2 linked regions of the Drosophila melanogaster genome follow. The protein of the gene in region 1 interacts with the protein of each later gene in a biochemical or structural test. Each region holds a gene or a part of one and is shown in the gene's direction. Other genes may lie near its edges.

Region 1 (5,249 bases):
TGGCCTCGGGTTCGCTCCGTCGCCGATGGGTCGGCACATAGAGCTCCTTTTGGTTGCGCTGCGAACGATCTGCCGGCGTTTGGGCCTTTGAACCGAGACGGTCATGCACCGATCGCCTTTCAGACCGGTCTTCCTTGGCCTTGTCAGCCGAAGAATCTTTTTTGGGGCTCTTCTCCTCCGCCTCCTCCTGGCGGGAATCGATCTCCGGTTCAGCCTCTGGACGCTTTTCGGGTGTCTTCTCGCGTCTGTTAAAAATAATGGGGCTCTTAGCTTTTCGTGGTGGAGCCTCCAATTTCGGGGGATCCTCTTCTGGCTCCTGGTCTACAGACTCCTCCCTCGCGCTCAAGTTCAACAGATCCTCATCATATTCATCGCTTTCATCCCCGATCTCGCCAATCTGGCGTAAATGCTTCTTGGCTGCATGAATTTTCTTTTGGATTTCGGCCAGCTCAGCGAGGTCTTTTTGCCGGTTAACACCGATAGTAGTTGAGATGATCTCAGACACAGCGGGCACATCCAGCGCCCTATTGGCCGATGCATCCTCATCCTCGATGGACTTGCGATTTTTCTTTTTGTGCAGGATCTCGTCTTTGGCACTGAGATCAATGTCCATGGTTTTCTTTGCCTTCTCGAGAAGCTCTTCGGCAAAAACATCCGTGATGGAACTGACAATTGGCATGGCATCTGAGGAACTTGGCTGTGGTTCCGACAGCTCATCTCCGGACTTTCGGTGCGGTCGCTTATCCTTCTTGGATCCTTTTTTGTCCTTCTCCTGACCGCGAGACTTGCGCTTCTTGCTGGAAGCTGAAAAAATTGGAGTTAGTGGGTGCTTAAGTATGATGAGCATATCCATCATACCACTGGATGTGGGGAGTGTGACCTCTTGGAGCTTTTGCAGCACTTCGTGCAGCCAGGTGACAAAGAGGTCAGTTTGATCGCCTAGGAATAGATTCAGCTCGGCGTTCATCTGCTGTTTGGTGCGCTTGTTGGCCACCATGACCATGACGTAGTCCGGCAATTCATCGTCTATAAAACCGGCCGATCCTCCGGTTCCCAGCTCCAGCAGCTTTGCCTTTACGGCGCTCTATTAATGAAGTGCAAAAATATATATAGTATTGGAGTATCCAATCCGAGCGGTATCCATAACGAGTTCATTGATTTTTTTCCAATGACTTACGCGCATCTTCTGACCAATCTCGCTGCCCAGATTGCACTCCATGTTTGCTGGTTTATCTATCGCCTTTTTCGCTGTTTATTCGCCGCGAGCATTTATTATTTACGCTTACTTTGTGGCTACACTCCACTTTTTGTTACATTAGAAAATGGCAAAACCTCCCAAAAAAAAAAAATATCGCAGCTGCTCCGATATTCATAACTAGTGGTGTGCGTTTGACATTAAGGGTATTCACGTTTAATTCACACGTTTTATAATGTATATATCGATTTTCTATAAACATAGCTTTAAAATAATAAATAGTTACAGAAATTTCATTTGAAATTAAAATGGCAAATTAAAAACTTCTGAAATTTAAAAATGCTCCTGGCCATGGCCATGAACTGAAGTGCAACATAACTTCAAAATAATCAACACCAATGGGACAATTTAAAAATATAAAAAGATTTCACTTGTTATTCATTAAATCATAAGTCTAGTTATCAAGAATTTGTGTAGTAGCTATTAAATTACATTCGAAAATTAAAAGCGAATAATTGCAAACAGTTTATTTAATCACATAGCTAAATATAAATTTCATAATAAGCTTAAATTCCAAACCAATGGCTACGAATATGTTTGACTGAGAATTAAAATTCTCAATTTGAAGTAAATATCTTAGATTGTAGAATCCTGCGAAGCATTTCAGTGCATCATCTCAAATTCAAATACGAAAATTGGCTCCTTCGGCTAAGACTCGATACCCATCTTGTGAGCCCCGCCACCAACTATCGATACGCAAAGGCATTTCATTCGGTGGGAATGGCAATCGAGTGTCACACGGGAAGAAGAAGCTGCGAAAAGAATTTTAGAAGAAAGCAACTGCAATTTTGTCATAATCGGAGCTGCAATTCGCAATGAATAATGGAAACTAGACAACCCAGTTCCGGTGATGATCTAAAGCCAGGTGCGTACCGCCCGGTGGCGCAGCGAGTGCGTCCAACGGGGCTACCAAAGGCAGCCCCTTTGACTTTGTGAAATGTGTGTCTGTGTTTCGCTCGCCCTTCGAATCGAATGGCTGCGTTTTTTCGACTGCGTTTCGCCAAGCGAAATTCACGGGCCCCTTTGGCCAGATATATCTGGAATATTGACGACTCCCAGCGAGCGCATTTTCGACAACTTGTTGCACTAAAACCCGTGAAATCCTCTATCTTGCAGAGCTGTACTTCCTCATTTCCAAGTTCCTGGCCGCGGGACCGCTGGAGGAGACGGCGAAGGTGGGTTGAAAGCAGCGCTCGCGCGAGATCGCATTGGAATCGTATTTCGCGCTAAAAGAGCGGAATTTCGTTTTGTTTACAAACATTTACATTAATTCTGAAACTAAATTCTATCCAACTGTAGGTCTTGATCCGGGAACTCGAAGAGAAGAAGGTGAGTTTTGTTGGTGCTGCAGCTGTGTTTTTGGCACAGATATTTCGGACTCGAATTGAGAGGGGGGCCAAAAAAAAAATAGAAAACCGCGTTTGTTTATACGCTTTGTTTTGGTTTTGTTGTTGTTTCTGCTGCCGGCAGCGAACGACGAAAAACCCACTTGTACGTCCGCTTGTCTCAGAGTTGGGAATCAGACTGAATTGTGGATTTGCTGGGGCCACGTGAATATATAGTCCATTAAAAAAAGAAGAGAAAAACATGAAAAAAGAAATGGAATCATAGGGATGCCCCCGCGACGTCATCGTCGACGTCACGGAGTGCAAGTGATAAGAGTCATACATGCATGCATATATATTTACACCCGTCTATATATACGTACACCTTTCGATTCCCAGGTTTTGCCGCGTCGTCTCGATTGGCAGGGAAACGAGCATGAGCAGACCTTTGAGGAATTGGTGAGTGTTTTCATAATTAATCAATTAGCTTTTCAAAGTTATCGTTTAATGCCTTTTGATCGGCATTTAAGTCTTGCGTAAGTGTGCGTCTGCTGCGGCATTTTCCGTCTCAGTCGTTCGCTCGCCTTTGTGACGTCATCGTGTCAGGGAATAGAGAAAAAGTTGCACATCAAAATTCAAGTTGTTAATTTAAAAAACATTACAACTAAAGACATCAATCATTCTGACTGTTAAATTAACAAATAAGTAAGCAACTATTTAATTAAAAAGGCAGCAAAAAATTGCAAAAATTCGTAAAAGACTAAAGTGGAAAGCAAAAATTCTAAAACCCTCGTAAAAATTGTAAATTTTGAAAAATCTTAATTTTTTAAACAAATGCTTTGTAATTTAGTTTTAACAATTAGCTGCAACCAGCCGACATTTTGGTTTCTCACACATACACATGCCCATGCGCACAGACACATGCAAGCAACCACCACTTTGCCTTGACTTGTGCGCGAGGGAACGAGACAAGCATACGTTGTTGAAGCTATCGCACCGTTTATCGCCCAATCGATAGGAATACGTTAAATTTTGATTTTGAATTCGCAGGAACGAAAGTACAAGCACATTGGCGCCAATCACTTGCTTGAAATATGCAGTCGTCTGGGTCCACTGGTGGATCGCGAGCTTCCGCCCAGTGTTCCGGGCATCAACTCGCTGTTGGGTACTGGGCGCCAGAACCTCCTGCGCACCAAGGAAACCGTCTACTGCCATCGCTCCTTAAGGGACTACTGCACCCGCCTGAATGGAGTCTCGCTGCCGGATTCGGTCCTTACAAAGCCGACCCACAACTTAGGTTAGTTGCATGGTAGAGTTTTATTCGCATATTAGAGACTAACCCATTTATATTTCCAAAGATCGCGTTCTAACTGGACGGGAACACGGCGGGGAAGTCCGTCGCAAGCTCCTCGTGCCCACGGACCTCTACCGCCGAACAAAATTGCTCCGTCGCACTGTGGGCCACCTGTCCTCAGTGTACTGTGTTCTGTTTGATCGCACAGGAAGATACATCATCACCGGAGCCGATGATCTACTTATTAAGATATGGTCAGCGGCAGATGGCCGCCTGCTGGCCACTCTGCGAGGCGCCTCATCCGAGATTACAGACATAGCCATTAACTTGGACAATACGATGCTGGCTGCCGGGTCATTGGATCACATACTAAGAGTGTGGGACATGCAAACCACATCACCCATCGCCGTACTGTCTGCTCACACGGGCATGATAACTTCGGTTAACTTTTGTCCGTCGCCACGTAGCGATCTGAAATATCTGGTGACTACCAGCACAGATGGATCGATCGCCTTCTGGCAATACTCAACGCCGCGCGGGCAAAAGATCACGTTTGCCCCGAAGCCAACGCAGTATCATGAGAAACTGCGGCCCGGACAAGCTCAGATGATGTGTACCACCTTTTCGCCAGGAGGCATTTTTCTGGCCGCTGGGTCTGCCGATCACCATGTGCGCGTCTATATGATGGGCGAGGACGGTCCGAAGCGAATATTGGAGACGGAAGCTTACACAGATGCCGTGGACTCGGTGCAGTGGTCGCATCGTGGACTGAGATTTATATCGGGGAGCAAGGACGGCACAGCACACATCTGGACGTTTGAGTCGCAGCAGTGGAAAAGTTCCAAACTATGCATGACGGAGCGTCTGGCCAGGTGAGTGCGATTTTCTTTAAAATGTTTCTAGCTAGTAAGGAATTCTCTGAAAACTAATAGCTTTGTAATTAAATTGCAGCTGCCCGGAACCAGAGGAGGGAAAGAGGCTTAAGGTAACCATGGTGGCTTGGGATGCCTCGGACCGTTATGTCATCACCGCCGTAAACGATTTTACTGTAAGCATCCGTCTTAAAACGTGCTAAACATTTACTTATAATTAATAATCCCATTTAAAAACAGATAAAAATCTGGGACTCGAAGTCAGCCAAGCTGCATCGTGTTCTGCGTGGGCACAAGGATGAGCTTTATGTGCTTGAGTCGAACCCAAGAGATGAGCATGTCCTGCTTTCCGCCGGGCACGATGGCCAGGTATTTCTGTGGGACATCGAGCAGGGCGTTTGTGTGGCCAACTTCCTTAACGACATCGATGGCCAAGGCCATGGCAGTGTCTTTGATGCAAAGTGGTCACCGGATGGCACAATGATAGCTGCCACCGATTCGCA
Region 2 (5,956 bases), 5.1 Mb from region 1:
CATGTCAATGAAGTGAAAATTGTGAATAGAAACCCACCTGGCGTATGAGCAATATGAGTTCTTTGAGTATAAGTAATTGTATTTGCTATTCTCAATCTTTAAATTTCCGAAATTTCAATCCCAACCGAGGAACGTAAATTAGTTTCATAAAAGCTAACAAGGCAAGAAAAATTCTTTTGTCCAAAACCTTTCGACTTCACTTCATTGTTCATTTGACCCTGTTTCACTCTGCCTCTGCCACTGTTCCTTTCCCCCGCCCCCTTATAATCCTGGTTTTGGCCATAGTCCAGCCACAGAAGGCTCATCATCGTCGTCGTCATCATTTGAATTCCTCGCCCGATTGTTGCAAGCAGCGCCTGTCGTTGTTGTTGTTGCCAGGACACGTGCATCGGCGAGCTTTGCAGTTGACATTCCGTTACGCACGTTGCCTCCATTTGGTCCTTGTTCTTGTTTTTACTGCTGCTGCTGCTGCTGCTGCTGCTGTCGGTGTCGTTGTCGTTGTCTAGGCAACATGCAATGTGCAATGCTAAAGTTTTTGTGATGCAAGTGCGTAGTTTACTCACAATAAGGCTCGTTGGGACTGTCCAGCGATGTTGGGTATTCGACGTGCGGGGATTTTTTTTTATGGGGGAAAAGCTCACTCAAAGTTGGCAAAGGAGCTGTGGCCCATGCTCGGGTTAACTAACTATGCCAATGCAGGACCATAACCAAAAAGTGCGTCACTACCGAATATTAGCTACTCTATTATATGTTCAAGTGTATTTGGTTTTTCGAAATATTGATAGGAGAATACTGGTATCTAGAATTGCTCATCTTCCATCTTCATCTTTTTCTTACCAAAATAGCTATTTCCAGTATAATTTGTAGAAGAACTAACCAGGAATGGGCTAACCTACTTTTGTAGTTAGGGCGATACTTACTTGCTTTACAAATGAATGTCTGCACAGCACAAATCAAATAATCAATAAATCTTATAACTATTTAAACTTAAATGTATTTACTCATAATAAACAACCAAGTAAATATACCCAAATAGGTAATTATTACTTCAAAGTGATAAGTATAAGCATGCAAACAGCCCATCTCGATCCCACTGCAGAGTTGAGTGCTTGCAAAAGCTCGTCACGTCATAAGCGGCAACAGTTGGGTTCAGTTTCTGGTTCTGTGTGCTCAGAACGCAGTGCCCCACTGTGAGAGCGAAGGGAAGAAGGGGTGGGACAGTCAGCTGGGGGTCGATTCGGGGTGGGGGCTCGGCTCGTTCTCGGCGCAGAGCTAGAAGTGCAGGCAACCGTGGGCAGAGTGCCACACTTATGCTCACACAAGCACCCAAGCACACAGTCGCCCCTTCGCACACACACACACACACACATACAGATCGACAGCTTTGTATTGACGCACTTGAACGGGCTGTTTCTAGTTACCGATTCACAGTACACGCTTCTACACTGGGAGAAAATATGCATGTCCGCAAAATCCTTATCAACTCTCGAATCTTTTCTCGCAGCCATTATAACGAGTTTTAATACTAAATATGCATAGAAATTCAAAATATAAACAATAACAAAAACAAAAACGATATTTGGATGTTATAGAACACTCTTAGTTTTAGCCTGCGTTTGGTTTTGCCCAACTTAAACTTTGGTTATAATATATATAATATATGGAAGTAAGTACTTTTTTTCAGTGTGCGGTTCCCACAGGTCTCTTTCTCGCCATCTCTGTTGCACTCACCGTACTTATGCGATTCATTTTAGCTTATAACGCCGAACACGGGGAACGTTGAGCTGCAGTTGTAGAAACGTTCTCAGCACTCAAATTTCGCATTCACATTCTCATTCGTCAATTAGTTGCCGGCGCGAGCGAATCGTGAGTGCGGAAAAAAGAAAATCTTTTCATCAGCTGGAAAACTGTTCTTCCCGATCAAAACTGGGATTCGGGAGATTTTTGAAGCCCAAAAGCAGGGAACTCCTCACTGATGGCCACGCGAGGGGCGAATGTGATTTGGTTTCGCCATGGATTGCGCCTCCATGATAATCCCGCTCTATTGGCCGCCCTCGCCGATAAGGATCAGGGTATAGCCCTAATTCCCGTTTTCATATTCGATGGAGAGAGTGCAGGTAAGAACTGAGTTTTCGAAAATTTTATTTCGTTGCGCACACATACATGTAGGTATCCAAATTAAATTGATTACAGGTAACCTTGAACTTACCTTGCACTTTCCTAAGTTATTACTTCAAAACTTTTATATGAGATATGGATATCTCATGGAGATATATTTAAAATATTAAGATAATCTTAAAATAATTAATAGATAGCAAAACATCAAAGATAAAATATTATATCTATATATATTTGCTCATACAAAATCATCAGAAGTTTGTGTAAAAATAGATTTTTGGAAAGAGTTTGAAAATTCAACAAAATTAAAATAAAAAACCGTTGGCAACAGAGGGTTAAAATAAATACTTTTAGTTTGATTGCTATTACACGCTCATTCTCCGTATGAGCTAATATCATTTTTTGCGACTTGCATCGGTTATCACATACCACCTCTTTCCGCGACCGCTGCGAATTCAGCGTTTTCGCTGCTTGTGAAAATGGAAAGAGGGCGAGAGCTGCAGGGGCGGAAAATGGAGGGAAAACCTAATGCACTTTTGCATGGTAGAGCAAAACAAACGATGCGCCCTAATGCCATTTGTGGCTGGCGGTTTTGAGAATTTTCCGTCGAATCGCTGGGAGAGAGATATAGAAAGACAATGCAAAATGGGTAGAGACATTGAGTGCAAACCAGAATAGCAGTATAATGCTTGTGTTTAAACAGCTCGCTCACGGAAAAAGTCGGCGAGAAACGGGGATACCTATAGAACCCATCACTTGACCGATAAGCGTCGTTTTGTGGGTAAAAGCGTGAAAACAAATATTACAATGGAAAATGGGCTAAACTGAACCATTTGTTTGCACAAAAGCTGAAAATTTATCTAAAAGGTGGCACTTAAACACACAAACTTGTTTTGAATTCCTAGTTTTGCGAAAATTGTGCACGAAAAAACTTTGAAAATGCATAATTTTTTTTAAATTTATAAATCTTATAAAACCGTTAAATGCTCTTCCTTAACAGGTACCAAGAATGTGGGTTACAATCGGATGCGTTTCCTCCTGGACTCGTTGCAGGACATCGATGATCAGCTACAGGCGGCAACTGATGGACGTGGACGCCTCCTGGTCTTCGAGGGCGAACCGGCTTATATCTTCCGCCGGCTACATGAGCAAGTGCGTCTGCACAGGATTTGCATAGAGCAGGACTGCGAGCCAATTTGGAATGAGCGCGATGAAAGCATCCGTTCTCTATGTCGGGAGCTGAATATCGACTTTGTCGAGAAGGTATCACACACGCTTTGGGATCCGCAATTGGTGATTGAGACCAATGGTGGCATTCCACCGCTGACCTACCAAATGTTCCTGGTGAGTTTAAAGCTCAGTTCTCTAGTTATAATATTCTTTTGAGAATATATCTTTAAAATAAATGTAAAAATATAACTATCTGAAAATTATATAGTCACTGAAAGATACTAATTATTTACATCAAATTATATTTTCGTTTATTTTATTATGTTTTAGCACACGGTGCAAATTATTGGGCTTCCACCGCGTCCCACCGCCGATGCTCGACTAGAAGACGCCACCTTTGTCGAGCTGGACCCCGAGTTCTGCCGAAGTCTTAAGTTGTTCGAGCAGCTGCCCACGCCGGAGCACTTCAATGTGTATGGAGACAACATGGGCTTCCTGGCCAAGATTAACTGGCGCGGCGGAGAAACACAGGCCTTACTTCTGTTGGATGAGCGTCTTAAAGTGGAGCAGCATGCGTTTGAGCGTGGATTTTATCTGCCCAACCAGGCACTGCCCAATATCCACGACTCGCCAAAATCGATGAGCGCCCATCTGCGCTTTGGTTGCCTTTCGGTACGTCGCTTCTACTGGAGCGTCCACGATCTCTTCAAGAATGTCCAGTTGCGCGCCTGTGTGCGGGGCGTTCAGATGACTGGCGGCGCGCACATCACGGGACAGTTGATCTGGCGAGAGTACTTCTACACCATGTCGGTGAACAATCCAAACTACGATCGCATGGAGGGCAATGACATCTGCCTGAGCATCCCGTGGGCTAAGCCGAACGAAAATCTCCTGCAGAGCTGGCGTTTAGGCCAAACGGGATTCCCGCTCATCGACGGCGCCATGCGACAACTCCTGGCCGAGGGATGGCTCCACCATACGCTGCGCAACACCGTGGCCACCTTTCTCACGCGCGGCGGTTTGTGGCAGAGCTGGGAGCATGGACTGCAGCACTTTCTGAAGTATCTGCTGGATGCGGATTGGTCGGTCTGCGCTGGCAACTGGATGTGGGTATCCAGCTCGGCGTTTGAAAGGCTGCTGGACTCCTCCCTGGTCACCTGCCCGGTGGCATTGGCCAAGCGACTTGATCCGGATGGCACCTACATCAAGCAGTACGTCCCGGAGTTGATGAATGTGCCCAAGGAATTTGTGTAAGTTTATATAATGAAAATTCCATATAACAATTTAAGTACTTAGATATAATAAAAATACTGATGGTATACTTGTCGTATACGCAATATATGATGACTCCTTTGTCGTCTTTACTTATGATTCGTTAAAGTGTTCAACAATCTCAAGCAACCATTTGAACTATATATATTTTTAATTCGTTTATTCGTGCTTTTGTTATATTTTTTAAATTATAAATCCCATTTTATATTTTCAGTCACGAGCCCTGGCGAATGTCTGCCGAGCAGCAGGAGCAGTACGAGTGCCTGATCGGAGTCCATTATCCGGAGCGGATCATTGATTTGTCCATGGCCGTAAAGCGAAACATGCTGGCCATGAAGTCTCTCCGAAATTCGCTGATCACCCCGCCGCCGCATTGCCGACCATCCAACGAGGAGGAAGTGCGTCAGTTCTTCTGGCTGGCCGACGTGGTGGTTTGAAGGAGTACAAGTGGGATGACCAATCCAATTTTAATTCGATTTCACAATAAAGAAACTATTACCAGTGAAATATTATATATAATTAATAATGCTTTATTTTCTTCAATTAAAATAAGTACTACAATACAATTTGTATCCGTTTTATTTGGTTTCGTTTTACTTTTAACAGCTTATAACGTGTTACTCATATATCAATTTTATTCAGCTTATTTTAAAAATCGTTTATGGTGTATATATATATAATTATTATTATCATCTGTATTACGTTGTCAAATTATACGTTAATTAACAGCATTAATTAAATAGTTTTTGCTTTTAATTGGGTCTTTCATACGAGAAAAATTGAACGCGAAGTATTTCAAATATTGAAATTTATTTTATGTCGATCTATTGATCCTGGCTTCGTTTGCCTTTCGTTTAATGAGAGATTCTATCTTTATAATTTGTCTAAATTGTTGTGTATATTTTATTTTAATGCCTAAATTTTGGTGTTCCTTCTAGATGTGTGCCTTTCGAATGAGATATTGGTAGGGGTTGATGGGACCTAAAAGGAGTTATTGTTGAAGTTTGAGTCCCTCGACAGTTTGCTACAAATAAAGTTTGAGAAAATCTAAACTCGACCACGCCGAGCTTTTCGCTCATTCCCCTACCAGCGACTTAATCGCAATAGTCCTTTGTAGGAAGTAAGCATTCGTTTTAGACATTCGACATCCTGCGAATTAGTTGAAGTAAATTCGAGTAAACATTTAGAGCGTTGCTTGGCAAAAAGTTATTTTTCTGGTAAATGTAAATTTCACACACACACACATTGCGTAATATACGATAGCTGAATAAATAATGGAACCAACCAATTCAATCAACAAACGAACAAGGAAGGAACGAGAACTCACAGAAAATAACAATTTGATGCAATTTATACTTTATGGAATATCTCGTAACGCATTATACTTTTATCAATA

The links. Proteins that work in one complex are often made in the same cells at the same time.
Region 2: of the proteins of BRWD3 (region 1) and cry, one has a biochemical effect on the other in vitro, tested with the Drosophila melanogaster proteins (one study listed by BioGRID).

Annotation. Positions count from the first base shown.
Region 1 is NT_033777.3:24,317,038-24,322,286, forward strand, and holds the start of BRWD3 (BRWD3), read left to right. Parts: upstream 1-1,962; 5' UTR 1,963-2,077; coding exon 2,078-2,120; exon of another isoform or gene 2,121-2,371; coding exon 2,372-2,430; exon of another isoform or gene 2,431-2,554; coding exon 2,555-2,584; exon of another isoform or gene 2,585-2,745; intron 2,746-2,979; coding exon 2,980-3,039; intron 3,040-3,630; coding exon 3,631-3,877; intron 3,878-3,938; coding exon 3,939-4,746; intron 4,747-4,825; coding exon 4,826-4,922; intron 4,923-4,986; coding exon 4,987-5,249. Other genes in the region: Nab2 (nuclear polyadenosine RNA-binding 2), read right to left, coding at 1-804, 859-1,084, 1,178-1,219.
Region 2 is NT_033777.3:19,210,366-19,216,321, forward strand, and holds cry (cryptochrome), read left to right. Parts: upstream 1-1,788; 5' UTR 1,789-1,975; coding exon 1,976-2,117; intron 2,118-2,193; exon of another isoform or gene 2,194-2,362; intron 2,363-3,118; coding exon 3,119-3,462; intron 3,463-3,618; coding exon 3,619-4,538; intron 4,539-4,774; coding exon 4,775-4,997; 3' UTR 4,998-5,077; downstream 5,078-5,956. UniProt on the Drosophila melanogaster protein: Blue light-dependent regulator that is the input of the circadian feedback loop. Has no photolyase activity for cyclobutane pyrimidine dimers or 6-4 photoproducts.